Ovis aries: one gene and its partners. The protein of the gene in region 1 interacts with the protein of each later gene in a biochemical or structural test. Links are inferred from orthologs where the notes say so. Each region holds a gene or a part of one and is shown on either strand. Other genes may lie near its edges.

Region 1 (4,222 bases):
AACAGAGAAGCTTGAAGGAACAAAGAGATGGAGAGAGCTCTAGCACTGAGGAGACAGATACTGCGTCCCAGGGGCCTGAGGCACCTATGGTTAGCTGTTTCCCTGAAGCCTTGTCCCACGAATCCCCCATAGGGCTATAATTATGAAAATCAGACTCAGAGCAGATAGAGAATTTGCCCAAGGCCATGTGGCAAGAAATGGTGACTGGATCACAAATGGACATGCTGCGTAACATTTACACACACACACAACACGATGGCAGTTGTGTCATGGAAAGATCTCTGTCTTTTGGCAAAAGAGTGAGAATTTATTTTTGAGGTTGTGAAAACATTCTAAAATTGATTGTCGGTTTGGTTGTACAACTCTGTAAATACGCTACAAGCCATAGAATCATGTACTTTATATGGTGAATTTTACGGTATGTGCATTATGTCTCAATAAAGCCGATGGGGTAGGGGTGGGTTGGGGCAGGGTGAGGGCAGAATGTCACCATCCTTGCTGAAACCAGCCTTGGGTTTGGATCCTGACTTTGCTCCCGTCAGACCACTACCTGTTTCCTCATAGTTGATAAGGGAATAACTACCTCTCAGGATTGTTGGGATCCTTAAGTAAGAGCATGTAACAAAGCGCGTAACACATCACCAGTAGCCATTATCACCCAGGCAATAGTAAATGATACGTGGATGTGAAGCTCAAGTTTGAAACAGGATACTTGGCCAAAGTTATGATATCTGTGGTTCCCAGAGCCCACAACAGAGGCCCGTTCTGGCTGCATCTATCTCACCCCATTTCTGAGCTGTAGTCTGTATTCTGGTGCCGGACTAGGTGTGGAAAGTTGTCATCTGCAGGGGGGCTGCCATCTGTGACTGTTGTGGGTGGGGGCTGCTACCAGATTCCCGTGCTCAAGAGCAGGGCTGGAGGGTGACTTTACGAAGGAGGAGGGGGCCCTTCCTTTGGCTGCATTTCCTGTGTCAAGCACGGAAATGCTTATTTGCTCACTGAATCTCTGGCTTGTGTTCAGGCTCAGGTTCCTATCTTCTTCTCCAAGCAAAGCTCAGCTTCTTCTACTGTTATCCATGCCCTGCCAAGTGACTCCTGGACTTGCAACTTCAATGTCAATTCAATTCTACTTTCTCGTCCCTCTCTCTCGAACTCAAGCCACTTTGTCCATCCTTTTTCCACACATGACCCTCAGTGTAAGCATGCTTCAGGCATTTTATAGGCACCCTTTGGTCTAGGCCTCCGATGAGGGAGACCTGGGTTTGATCCCTGGGTCGGGAAGATCCCCTGGAGAAGGAAATGGTAACCCACTCCAGTATTCTTGCCTGGAGAATCCCATGGACAGAGAAGCCTGGTAGGCTACAGTCCACGGGGTCGCAAAGAGTAGGACACAACTGAGCGACTTCACTTGGTCTAGGCCACTGGTTATCAGCTCCAGCTGTGCTTTAAAATCACCTGGGGAGTTTAGCACCTACAATGCGCAGGCCCTGAGCCAAGAAACTCTGATTTATTTGGTCTGGGATGGAACTTAGTACTGGTAAATTTTACTGTACCTCAGCTGATTGCAACATGAAGCCTGAATTAAGACTCACCAACCAGCCCCTTCCTGCTTCCCCCGGATTAAAGCAGCAGCTCCCTGCCTAGTCTTCCATCTTTCATCTTCCGTAGCTACTACTGCTCCCCCGGTACACGCATAGACATACAGAGCCACACCTTGTGTATTTTCTACAGATACCAGCAAGAATACCTTCTACCTTTGATCATTCTGGTGTTGAGCAGATTAGAAACTATTCATCCTTTAATGCATTATTTCCAGCCCTTTCCTGCCTTACCACCACTCCTTCAGGACATCCGGGCTTGAAATTGTCTCTCTGGCAGAAGACCCACTGCCCTTCAGTCAGCCTCCCCTTCCTAGCCTCATAGCTTATCCTTCATCATCCACCTGAAATGGTCACCTTTCCCCCCTTCTGCCCACTGATTCCCCTCCTCCTAAATAATGCCATGTCAATCTAGATCCTTCACGCAAATCAGCATCCCCACCACCTCTGGAGAGGTGAAGTGTGTAGACGTGAGGGTCTATTAGCTGTGGCGTCTATCTGTCTCTCCCGCAAGACTGGACCTTGCATCAAGGCAGGAGGAATGCGTTCGGTTTCCCCTAGGGCTCCCCAAGGCCAACATCTGGGCTGAGGACCTTGCATAAATGCTACTCTTTGGCTTGCTAAATAGCACCCATTTTGCGATGGAGGAATTTAGGGGTCAAAGACTTACCTTGAATCTTCAAATCAAATTTTTTGTTCAGTAGGTTTACTCCATTGGAATTATATACCTCTACCTTATAGAGATCACTATCGTTTCTCATCAGAGCTTTAATTTTCAGAGTTCCATTTGTAAACATATCATATTTGTCCGTCAGCTTGTAAAGTGGCATATCTTTCTTCATTCGTGTAATCTTGTTTCTGCTCTTGTGCCATTGTATATCTGCCACTATGTCACTTCTCTGAAAACCAGGAATGTCCAGGTTGAGATCATGATCCAGGGCACCCCAGACGACAGTGCTTTCAGGGTCTTCACCTACAAAAAACAAGACAGGTGCTGAGGTGCCTCGCTCCCAAGGAAAAGCAGGGCTGTGCCCTTTCTGACTTTTAAGCTCAGTTCAGGGTCTCCAACGAAGCTGCTAACAGTGAGAGTGAAGACCCTCACACCAACTTACCTTTGGTGGGAACAGTGAAAATCAGAAGGAAGCTGGCTAAGAGTTCACATGCGAGGTTCATCTTTGGGGATCGTTTCCTTCTGTGATTCTGTGTTCTTCTTGCAAAAGGAACTCAAGTTAACATCAGTGGAATCCACCCCCTGTGAGCTTAACCACGTGCCTCTCTTTTTTGCTTCTTTAGGTAACATAGAAAACAGACGTACACACACACACACACACATACAAGCGTATACAATTCAGAAAACCAACCTGGCTGATGTAGCTCTTTGCCAAAGCAGGTATATGCCTGAGTGTGTCTTCTCATCATGTTTTAATCCTCACAGCAGCCTTGGGTGGGTTTTATTATGCTCATCAAAGAGAAGAGGAACTAACAAACTATGTAAGCCACTCAGAATCACCCTTTAGTTAACAAAGAGCCAGATGCAACCTTACGGCCCGCCTTCTATGCCCTCTACTGCAGTATATATGAAAAAGTATTACTATTGAAATAAGTAAATTGTTCCTATCAATCAATAAGACAAATGAAATTTGGTTTTTAAAATCAACAAAGAATACAAACAAGCAATCTATAAAAGAAATACATTATAGAAAAAATGTCAGTAAATGTATGAGAAGACATCTAATGCTACAGATATATATATATATAATAGCTATTATATATATATATAAGTCATAAAACACCATCTTCACATTCAAATTGGTAAAATTAGAAAAGATAGTGATTTACATTATTGACAGGAATGTTGGGAGAAGCAGGCACCTTCATATAATACTTGAGGGAGTATAAAGTATACTTCCCATGGATGGGATTTGACAGTTTCCACTAAACTTAAAAAAAAAAAATATATATATATATATATATATATATATTTTAACCTAGTAATTTTAATTTGAGAAATCTATCCTTCAAAAACGCTTGAATAAGTGTGTAAAAATTCTGTCCAAGGATATTTGTTATAGCTTTTTTGGTAATAAAAATTTTCAAACAACTGAAATTGTGGTATATTCATATGATGAAATAGTGGTTGAGTTAAAATAGAATGAAGCAGCCCTAAGAGCATATTATATATCATATTGTATTGCGTTATACTATAATAGTGCAGACATAGGAAGAAATCTGTAAAGACTCATGCCAAACTTTTCACAGCACATCCCTTTCAGGACAGGCAAAAAGGAAACTTTCACTATTTTATCAACTTCGGTGAAATTAGAAATTTTGATAATGAACATATTCATTCTGTAATAACAAGTGTTTTTAATAAAGGGTGCTTAGGACACATCTGTTCCAAAGCATATGCAGATCCTGAGAAACATTTTGCCTCTAGCCCCCTTACCTCTAAGTGGCTCACCCACTAGCCAGCTGCCAACCACAGCCTCCCAAGTCCTGGTCCAGGCGACATGGTGATGGCCATGTGGCTCCCTGCCTTGGCCTTTCTGATAATTTTCCTAAGCTCTCATGGGACAAATGGAGAGCAGATGTCTGTTCTCTCTGAAATATTAATCAATCCTTCT
Region 2 (4,285 bases), about 220 kb from region 1:
TGGTCCCAGGAATTTCACAGATAGAGACACCTTTTACAATTTCATGGCTAATTTAAGAAATAATTTATGGATTCTTACAGTGTAGTTCAAGTATCTTGAGTGGTTTGGGGGTCCCCACCTGAGGATGATGGCAATCACAGCAAGAATAAAGCCCATTTCCACTCTTTCACAACTGGCAAACAGGTTGGTGTTTGTTAGGACAACAGAGGGTCCAGTTCATGAGTCCAGTTCATGGGAGGAGTTTCCTGCCCACATAGTAAGGAAGAGTTCCCTGAGCCTCAGTGGCTGAGCAGAGGTCACTCTGGTGCTTCTGTCTGAAAGAAAAGGAGCTGTCAGGGAAGCCCATGCCAGGAGCTGGTTCTGGGAATACAGTAGTAACTGAGCCTGGGAGCAGGTGGATTTGAGGCAAGAGGACTAGTCAATAAGATAGAGATTTCAAGTCCCTACTGCAGCTCGAGGGACAGAGATTTGGGGAGGCCAAACACTGAGGGAGTGAACAGGTCTGACTCCTCAGCCTGAGGGTTAGGAGGAAGAGTGAAACAGAGCAAATGGAGAAGGGAGAAACCCGAGGCTGGAAATCCCAGCTCTGAGTAGGGGAGTGCTGGGGTGGGAGTCAGTCTTAAGGAAAAGATGACTGCCCTGCAATGAGGAAAGGTAGGCACTTGAGAGGGGTGGGGAGGTTGGGGCTGCACCAGGGAACTGTACACATTCTAGCAGTTGTCTAGCATGTCCCATTTCCTTTCGTTTTAGTATTTGATTGCCTTCTCCGAGTATTTGAGGAAAGAGTGCTTCAAAGAGGCTGTTTTATCTAGAGTCATCAATGGGGCATGTGTGCTACTCGCTCAGTCGTGCCCGACTCTTTGCGACCTCATGGACTGTAGCCCGCCAGGTTCCTCTGTCCATGGGGTTCTCCAGGCGAGAATACTGGAGCGGGTTGCCGTTCCCTTCTCCAGGGAAATTTTCCCGACCCAGGGATTGAACTCGGGTCTCCGGCATTGTGGGCAAGTTCTTCATCGTCTTAACCTGCAGGCAAAACTTCCGCGCTGCTGCAGCTGCTGGAAAGCGCTGGAAGAATAAAGCGCTTCGGAACCTCCGTGTCCCACCGGAGTTCTCCTGTCACCTCCCGCCCAGTGGGACGCAGCTTTCGGGGACCGACAGTCCGATACCTCCAGCTGCGGGGGCGCCTCCATCGCGTTCCTAATGCCAAGGAAAAGTGCGAGAGGAACGAGGATAAACCTGGTTGTAAAAACGCACGCCACTTTTGCTAAAGAGCTCCACAGAGCAAAGCGGGTGGCTGCGGAATGGCAGGAACGACTGGGACCCGAACTTAGTCCGGGAAAAGAGGAAAGGGCCGGCGCCCAGACTGCATCCGGTGCCAGCCCGCCGCGGGGGAGGCGGGGCGCGCGAGGCGGGGCGCGGGGCGGGGAGCGCAGTGGGGCTGGCTCTCCGGCAGGCCCAGGCCGAGTTGTGCGGCTGCGACCCATTAGCAGAAACTGCCTGGACCGCCATGGCCGCAGGGAGTGCCCCTGGGTGTGCCCTGGGGGCCCTTGGACTGGTCTGCCTGTTCCTCAAATTGGGTGAGTGGAGGCCTCCTCCGGGAGCCCACAGGGACCGGTAGCGCGAGGTGTCAGTGGCCCCCGGGCTCCGGGCCCGGTGGACGGGCGCGGCCCAAGGCGGCTGCAAGTTCGGGTGGCGAAGGTGGCGGGGGGCACGCGCGCGGGACCTGGTCGTGTCATCCACAAATCACCATAGGGTGGTCAGTAAGAAACTTGCTCCTCAGGCTCTGAGGTCTGGGAAAAAGAAACCAGACTCCGGCTCGTTCTCCTTCCCTGCGCTCTTCCCTCCCTTTGGGAGTCCTTCTTAACTCCCACGATCCCCGAACCCCGCTTGTCTTCCACCCCGTGTTTTTCTGGAAGGGGTGCCTTTTCTGCGCGACCCCAGTGACTAAGTTACCACTTCCCGAGACGCCATCGTCCAGAACTTGAGCAGATCTTTTTTTTTTTACTGCTTCCGCAGCCCTCGAGCTTGTCCGGGGCGGGCCTCCCCACTGGCAGTGGATCGCGCTGTGTGCGCGCGCGCCGGCTTCTGCGCTGGGATGGGCGCCCCGCGGCCAAAGCCAAGTGCAACCGCGCCTGTCCCGCGGCCGCGCCCTGGGCTGATGGCGGTGGTTCAGAATCGCCTCGCAACAGGAACGAGTGGGCCTCGATTCGGAGTTTCTAAGTAGTGTGGCTGGTGCTGCTTTCCCCTCCCTTCGGAACAGAAAAGGAGGAATGTGTGAGTGTCTAGGACTGTGTTCCTCCTTTTCACACTTCTTCAGTTAAATTGTCACAACAGCCCCATAAGATAGGTATCTTTGTCTCCATTTTTTTACCTCCTCACCCACATCATCAACCTCTTCCCACACAGGCTCGTAGTTAAGTCATAGCCAAACCCCTGGAGCATAGTAACAGCCCCCTTAATTAGTACTGGGAAAATCCCCCTGCTGGCCCTTTAGCACACACATCTGATCAGCCTTTCCTCTCCACTTTGCGTTCAGAGTGTGTTGAGTGCCTGTGGAGGCATGCGTCTATGGAATACAGCCTGGGTGGGGGTCGTCGTGGTGGGTGGGGGTCGACATGTGCTCAAAAGTACCTACAGTGTAAGGCACAGAAGTAAATGTTGTAAGAGGTAAATATAAAGTGCTGCGGGTGTGCAGAGGGAAGAGAGCCACATCTTTGGTGAAATCAAATATCTTTCGTGAAGGAAAAACTTCCTGGAAGGGAGGGTGTGTGAACCTAGCCTCGGAGGACAGGTGGTATCATGCCATGATGTGGGAAAAGGTGCCAGGAGGAGGAGATCAAGAAAGAAAGAGGAGGAGAATGTAGAGGGAAAACTTTGGCAGTAGGGAGCCATCAGTGTCACTGGAGAGTCGGTGTGCCCGTGGGATCTTGAGGCCCCATGGGGGACCCCGAAAGTCCCCTTTGGGAGCTGGGATTCTCTCCTGCAGGCAAAGCAGACCTGTTTCTGGGCCTGACAGGAGCAGACCCATCCACTTAGAATAATCTGGCAGCAGTGAAGAGAAAAGATTGTAGTTGAGAGGGATTGGAGGCAGAGGGGGCCAGGACAGGTACCATCACAGGCGCCAAAGGCTGTGAGGGTTTCATAGGCCAGAGCTGTCAGCACGAGGAAGAAGCACATACCGAGGTTGAACGGATGAGGTAATTCCTTCAGATGTGCAGGTCTCTCCCTGGTCTCAGAAGGCAACTTTGGCCACCACTGCCTGTTGCTATGCTCTTTTCCACTGAAAACAGTCTACCGATCTAGCCACACCTTTTCTAGGAAGACTCTCTAAAAACAGTCCCCTCATGATGGTCTCTCCCACCTAATTCATTTATTTATTCAGAGGTCATTTGGTTCTGCAGACATGAATATTACCTACTCTGAATAGGCTTTGCGCTAAGGAAAACTCTATAGCTCTGCAGATAGTGAGCCCTTTGGGTACCAAGCCGGTCTCAGTGGGGAAAGCTGCCTAACTGACTAACAGTATTGGATCTCAGATCCTGGCCCCGCCCCTCACGGTTAAAACTTCTGTAAGTTACCTCACTTCTCTGTGACTCTGTATCTTTGCCTTTGAAGAGAGAGCAGCACACACGTGAGAGAAAGGATACTAACATCTGCTTCATAGAATGATGGTGAGCATCAGTAATTCAACACATACTTACTGTCAGCTCTATGTCGGCACAGGGAAGCTTACAATTATTAGAGTGGGGGAGAGACAGTGAAGAAAGAAAGCAGTAAGTGTGCAGTTGTTGGGTGGTTGTGAACATTTACTAATACAGAGGTTAGCAGTGCAGAGCAAGGGAAATGGAAGTGGTTAATAGTTCTTACTAATTTTCTTAAATTTTGGAAAACTTAAAATCTTTAGAGTAGTTGTGAAAACAGTACAGTGAACACTTGCATGCCTTTCTCCTTGAATCACCAGTTATTAACATTTTATCACATTTGGTTTACTTCTCTCTCTTTATAGAGACAAACACCCACACCTACCCAGTTACTTTTTCTTGTTGTTTTTTTGCTAAACCGTTTGAGAAATGCAGCTCTTACAACACCTTAACCCTAAATATTTCAACATAGGTCTTGTAAGAATAATATGTCTCCAGGAAGCCCTGGCACCATTTTCAGAGTCAGGAAGTATAGCATGGATAAAAGACTGTTTTCAGATGGGGTCCAGAAGCCAGTCCTGGATCATACAAGTTTGGTACTCACGCCTGTTTGTGCTGTGCTATACTTAGTCACCCAGTCCTGT
Region 3 (4,249 bases), on another chromosome or scaffold:
CCCATGGTGGCTCATTTTCTTCTCAAGGCCTCCATTTCCTCATCTGTCGGGTCAACAATACACAGGGATGGGGGCTGTGAGTACCCCCTGCACGGGCCAGGCTGAGACCCCCCAGGCTGATCACCCATGGCCTCTTCTCTTCGGGCCTGCAGGCGTCAAGATCATCTTCCGGGTGGCCCTGGTGCTGCTGCGGCACACGCTGGGCTCGGTGGAAAAGCTGCGCTCCTGCCAAGGCATGTATGAGACCATGGAGCAGCTGCGGAACTTGCCTCAGCAGTGCATGCAGGAGGACTTCCTGGTGCACGAGGTAGGTCCTGGCCTTAGCGTACCTCACACCCGCTTCAGTAGATCCCCACCCCACTTCACCCTGGTACCCATGTCTTCTCCATCTAGGTGACCAACCTCCAAGTGACAGAAGCACTGATTGAGCGAGAGAACGCAGCCCAGCTCAAGAAGTGGCTGGAAACCCGGGGCGAGCTGCAGTATCGGCCCTCACGGAGACTACACGGTTCCCGGGCCATCCACGAGGAGCGCCGGCGGCAGCTGCCCCCCCTGGGCCCCTCCTCCAGCCTCCTCAGCCTCCCTGGCCTCAAGAGCCGGGGCTCCCGGGCAGGTGGAGGGGTCCCCTCCCCACCCCCTCCCGTCCGCAGGGCCAGCGCGGGGCCTGCCCCAGGGCCCGTGGTCACCGCCGAGGGACTGCGTCCATCCCTTCCTTCGCCTACTGGCAACAGCGCCCCTCTGGCCCCTAGCGGCAAGGAGGCCCGGAGGCAGGAGAAGGAGCGGCAGAAACAGGAAAAGGAACGCGAGAAGGAGCGGCAGAAACAGGAAAAAGAACGGGAGAAGCAGGAGAAGGAGCGGCAGAAGCAGGAGAAGGAGCAGCAGAAACAGGAGAAGGAGCGGCAGAAGCAGGAGAAGAAGGCCCAGGGCAGGAAGCTCTCACTCCATCGAAAGGCAGATGGACCGCCTGCCCCCCAGGACGGCGGGGACAGGTCCTCAGCATCAGAGGCCCGGCAGGATGCGTACTTCTGACCTCTGCCCTGGGGCTGGACTACGTGGCCCCCTCTTTTCCCTCAGCCAAGAGCAGACCTAGCCTGGGGTCCTGCTCCCAGCCCGCCCTTGGCAGGCTGTCCCTCTTTTTGAGGAAAGTGGCTTGTTCCCCGTCTCCGTGCCAGCCGCTGATCCCCACGTGGCCAGGACAGTCAGAACGGGGGGCAGCTGCATTTCCCTGGGGAAGCAGTGGACACCTCACCTCCAGCTCGGCCCAACTGGGGTCCCTTCCCAGGTGCCACTCTCCTGATTGGCCTTTGGTCACCGCAGGGGTGACCTGTGGCAGTGGGAGTCAGCAGTTTTCAGATTCTTACACTCCAGTCACTCCCCTTACCCGTGAAGTGAAGCTGGGTTCCTTTACCCCCTTCAGTCCTGCCTGTCTTCCCCCAGTTCCTGGTTGGGGGCCCAGGCTCTTCTTGCTCTCCTTCTGGACATCTCTGTGTTGTAATTATGTACAGAGGACCTGGTGGGCCCCGGGTGGGGGTGTTCACTCCATCTTCTGTTCTCTGGTTCTCCCTCCTCAGTGTTCTTGCACTCTAGTTTATTTAAGGGGACACGCACTGGAACAGGAAATGTCTCCCACCTCCCACCACCACCCTCCTTGCTCTCCTTCCTCTTCACCCACCTTTCTCTGTATTCTCAGGCCTCCCCTGCTTTATCTGACCAGGGCCCCTGCCTTTCACTTTGTCCCTTCCAACCCTCCAGCCCCTTCCTGGGTAAGGGTCTTCCCCTGAGCCCCAGGGGGTGGAACCCAATGTTTACATGTTCTTCTGTCTCTGCCCCCACCCTGTTCGGCCGCTTTGAGGAACCGGAAAAGAACCTGCTGTTGTACCTGGGCCTGTCTTTTGCCTTGTTATTTGATGAGTGGGGTTAAAGTAAGGACAAGGAGGGAGGGAGTGATGAGTTAGCAAGGATCTGGGTGTCTCTGGAAGCTGTTGACTGGACTTGGCAGATACCTTTGGGTCTTTAGTCTATTAGTCACTCATCAACACAGTTGTTGCGTTCCTGCTTCACCTCCACCTGCTGGGGATCTGCTGCCTCCGTTGTCACTGGCCTCCTGGAACTGTCTGTGGACAGCCTGCAGCATCCGGATCTCCTTTCCAAAGTGCTCGTGCAACTCCTGGAAGCTGAAGAGGGTCCTGGGGGTGGCTGGGGAGCCACAGTCCTCTGGGGGTGAGCCGGGCTCTTGGCCAGCTGCCTGGCACAGCTCCCGGTACTGGGCCTCCAGGGGGCGTAGCAGCTCAGCCAGCCGCGTCCAGGTGGCTCCGGCCAACGCCCACAGCCAGGCTCTCAGCTCCTCCCGGTTTTCTGCTGCCAGCCTGTAGGCCCGCCCACCATCTCCCCCTGGAGTCCGAATGGTAAAGGCATAAGGTTCTGTGGCTCCAAGGCGTGGCTCCACCTGGCAGTTCTCTAATAGGATGAGACCCAGGGGTGTGTGGTCAGCCTGGTGTTCCAGGTAGAAGAGGAGGTTTCCTCGCAGGATGAACCAGCGGCGCTGATAACTGGTATTTCGGGCCCCCTTCTTTAGCAGGATGCCCTCCCGGTCTGGAGCCTGTGTTCTGTACCCACGGAAGAAACGGAGCACGGACTTTCGGTGCAGTTTCATGGTAGCCCACTGTGGGAAGAAACCCTAGGAGTGGAGAAAGGAGGAGTGGGGCATTTGGTGATCCGGAGTACCCCAGCACTGCCCTCCTCTGGTTCCAGCAGGCTCTTTCTGGGCACTGTCTTGGTCTTGGTCTAGAGGGATTCAAACTTGAGTTTTCAAGAAGGACCTTCCACCCACCTCCCAACCTCAGCTCTGCCCCTTGGGCCAAATTACAAAACCTGGGCAGGACTGTAGTGCTGGGGTCCTGTTTGGGGGTGGGGTTGGCGGATATCCACTACGGCCCTTTCCCAGGCCTACCTGAGATGAGGGCACAAGGGACTTCAGGCCTCGGTACTGGGAACAGGTGCCACTGCCACCTCTCCTATTTGACTCTTCCCACCTCAGAAACCAGGAACTTGGCCAGGGGATAGGAGGCGGCTGATTTTAGACTTCCCCTGGGTCCTAAAAGGAGCTGGGTTCGGAAAGTCCCAGGAGAACCTCTGGGACAACAGCAAGGCTACACCTCGGACTAGCAAAGGGCGGACAACTGGACGCCAAGAGTAGGAAGGCAGGATTTCTAATGAGATGATGAAGGGCGCAGAACCAGCCGTGGGGAAAAGGAGACAACCCGGGAAAGAGAAAACTAGGGCAGGAACCCACCGGCCCTGCTGGGACTTTGTTCCTCCATCGTGAACCTGGGCGCCCCTTTCTCCTCAGAGCCTCTAGTGTTGTAGGAGGAAACCGAGATCACTTCCGGCCATCCTCGTCCGATCAGGGTCTAGGCGTTCAAATGTCCCCTCTTCTCACCATAGTCACCCCACACGGCTCGCGTCACTTCTGGGAGGGGGCGTCTCTCCCCGCGCGGCGCGTACTTCCGCCCGCTCCTTCAGTTGTTCATCTAACCCGAGTGAAGCCACTTCCGGCTTTCCCCGCCGCCTTCCGCAGTTCTCTTCCGGGTGGTGGCGGGCGGGTGGCCCGGATGTAGCCCTGGTGAAACCCTCTCTCCCTTTCTTCCCCCACCTTTCCTGGATCCTTAGGTGAGCGCGTGCCGGCGGGACTGCTGGTGTCCCCGTGGCCCTGCCGCCTTTCTAATTTGTACACAGCCCAAGACAGTTGGGAGTCACCCCGCGGAGTTGGGAGTTCGGCGCAGGGAGGAGCGGGGCTGCCAGGGCGCTAGGTCCTGGGTCTGCCGGGGCCCCTCGGGTTCCGAGGAAGCTGGGGGTGGTGGAGCGGGTGTTTACCCGCGAAGCACATCGCGCCCAGCACTGCTGGGGCCTGGAATAAGGGTGGTCACGTGGGGGAGCCCGTCTCCTCTTGTCAAGGGTGGGGGTGCCCGTAGGAGCTCCTCCGCCCGTCCGCTCTTGCGTCTCCGCACCAGCGGCTCTTTTAGATGCTAAGCCAAGTCCCGGGAGGGGCGGGGGGAGGGGCGGGTTCTGGACTACCAGCTCGCCTTTCGGCTCCTGATTCTGTACTCCCTTCCCAAAGTGGATCTAGTACCCGCCAAGTAAAAGATCTGTTGTGCAGGGGGCCCCCTCGCGGGGAGTTGCCTCCTCACCCAGTTCCCTTAATCTGCACCCTTTCCCTCTGCTCAGTTTGGAAAAGCCCTTCTGTCCAGTC

What was found. The genes of interacting proteins can lie anywhere in the genome.
Region 2: the proteins of CD2 (region 1) and CD58 form a complex in vitro, tested with the Homo sapiens proteins (3 studies listed by BioGRID and IntAct, with this or other methods). The link is inferred for Ovis aries from reciprocal best matches to the Homo sapiens genes CD2 and CD58.
Region 3: the proteins of CD2 (region 1) and CD2BP2 interact in a biophysical measurement, tested with the Homo sapiens proteins (6 studies listed by BioGRID and IntAct, with this or other methods). The link is inferred for Ovis aries from reciprocal best matches to the Homo sapiens genes CD2 and CD2BP2.

What each region holds. Positions count from the first base shown.
Region 1 is NC_056054.1:94,155,546-94,159,767, reverse strand, and holds the start of CD2 (T-cell surface antigen CD2), read right to left. Parts: upstream 2,801-4,222; 5' UTR 2,772-2,800; coding exon 2,711-2,771; intron 2,572-2,710; coding exon 2,269-2,571; intron 1-2,268. UniProt on the Homo sapiens protein: CD2 interacts with lymphocyte function-associated antigen CD58 (LFA-3) and CD48/BCM1 to mediate adhesion between T-cells and other cell types. CD2 is implicated in the triggering of T-cells, the cytoplasmic domain is implicated in the signaling function.
Region 2 is NC_056054.1:93,935,781-93,940,065, reverse strand, and holds the start of CD58 (lymphocyte function-associated antigen 3), read left to right. Parts: upstream 1-1,485; 5' UTR 1,486-1,507; coding exon 1,508-1,577; exon of another isoform or gene 1,578-4,285. UniProt on the Homo sapiens protein: Ligand of the T-lymphocyte CD2 glycoprotein.
Region 3 is NC_056077.1:27,062,918-27,067,166, reverse strand, and holds the start of CD2BP2 (CD2 antigen cytoplasmic tail-binding protein 2), read left to right. Parts: upstream 1-1,449; 5' UTR 1,450-2,032; coding exon of another isoform or gene 2,033-2,653; exon of another isoform or gene 2,654-2,677; intron 2,678-2,950; exon of another isoform or gene 2,951-3,035; intron 3,036-3,600; exon of another isoform or gene 3,601-3,669; intron 3,670-4,224; 5' UTR 4,225-4,249. Other genes in the region: TBC1D10B (TBC1 domain family member 10B), read left to right, coding at 153-307, 394-1,029; sesquipedalian-1-like, read right to left, coding at 2,033-2,653. UniProt on the Homo sapiens protein: Involved in pre-mRNA splicing as component of the U5 snRNP complex that is involved in spliceosome assembly.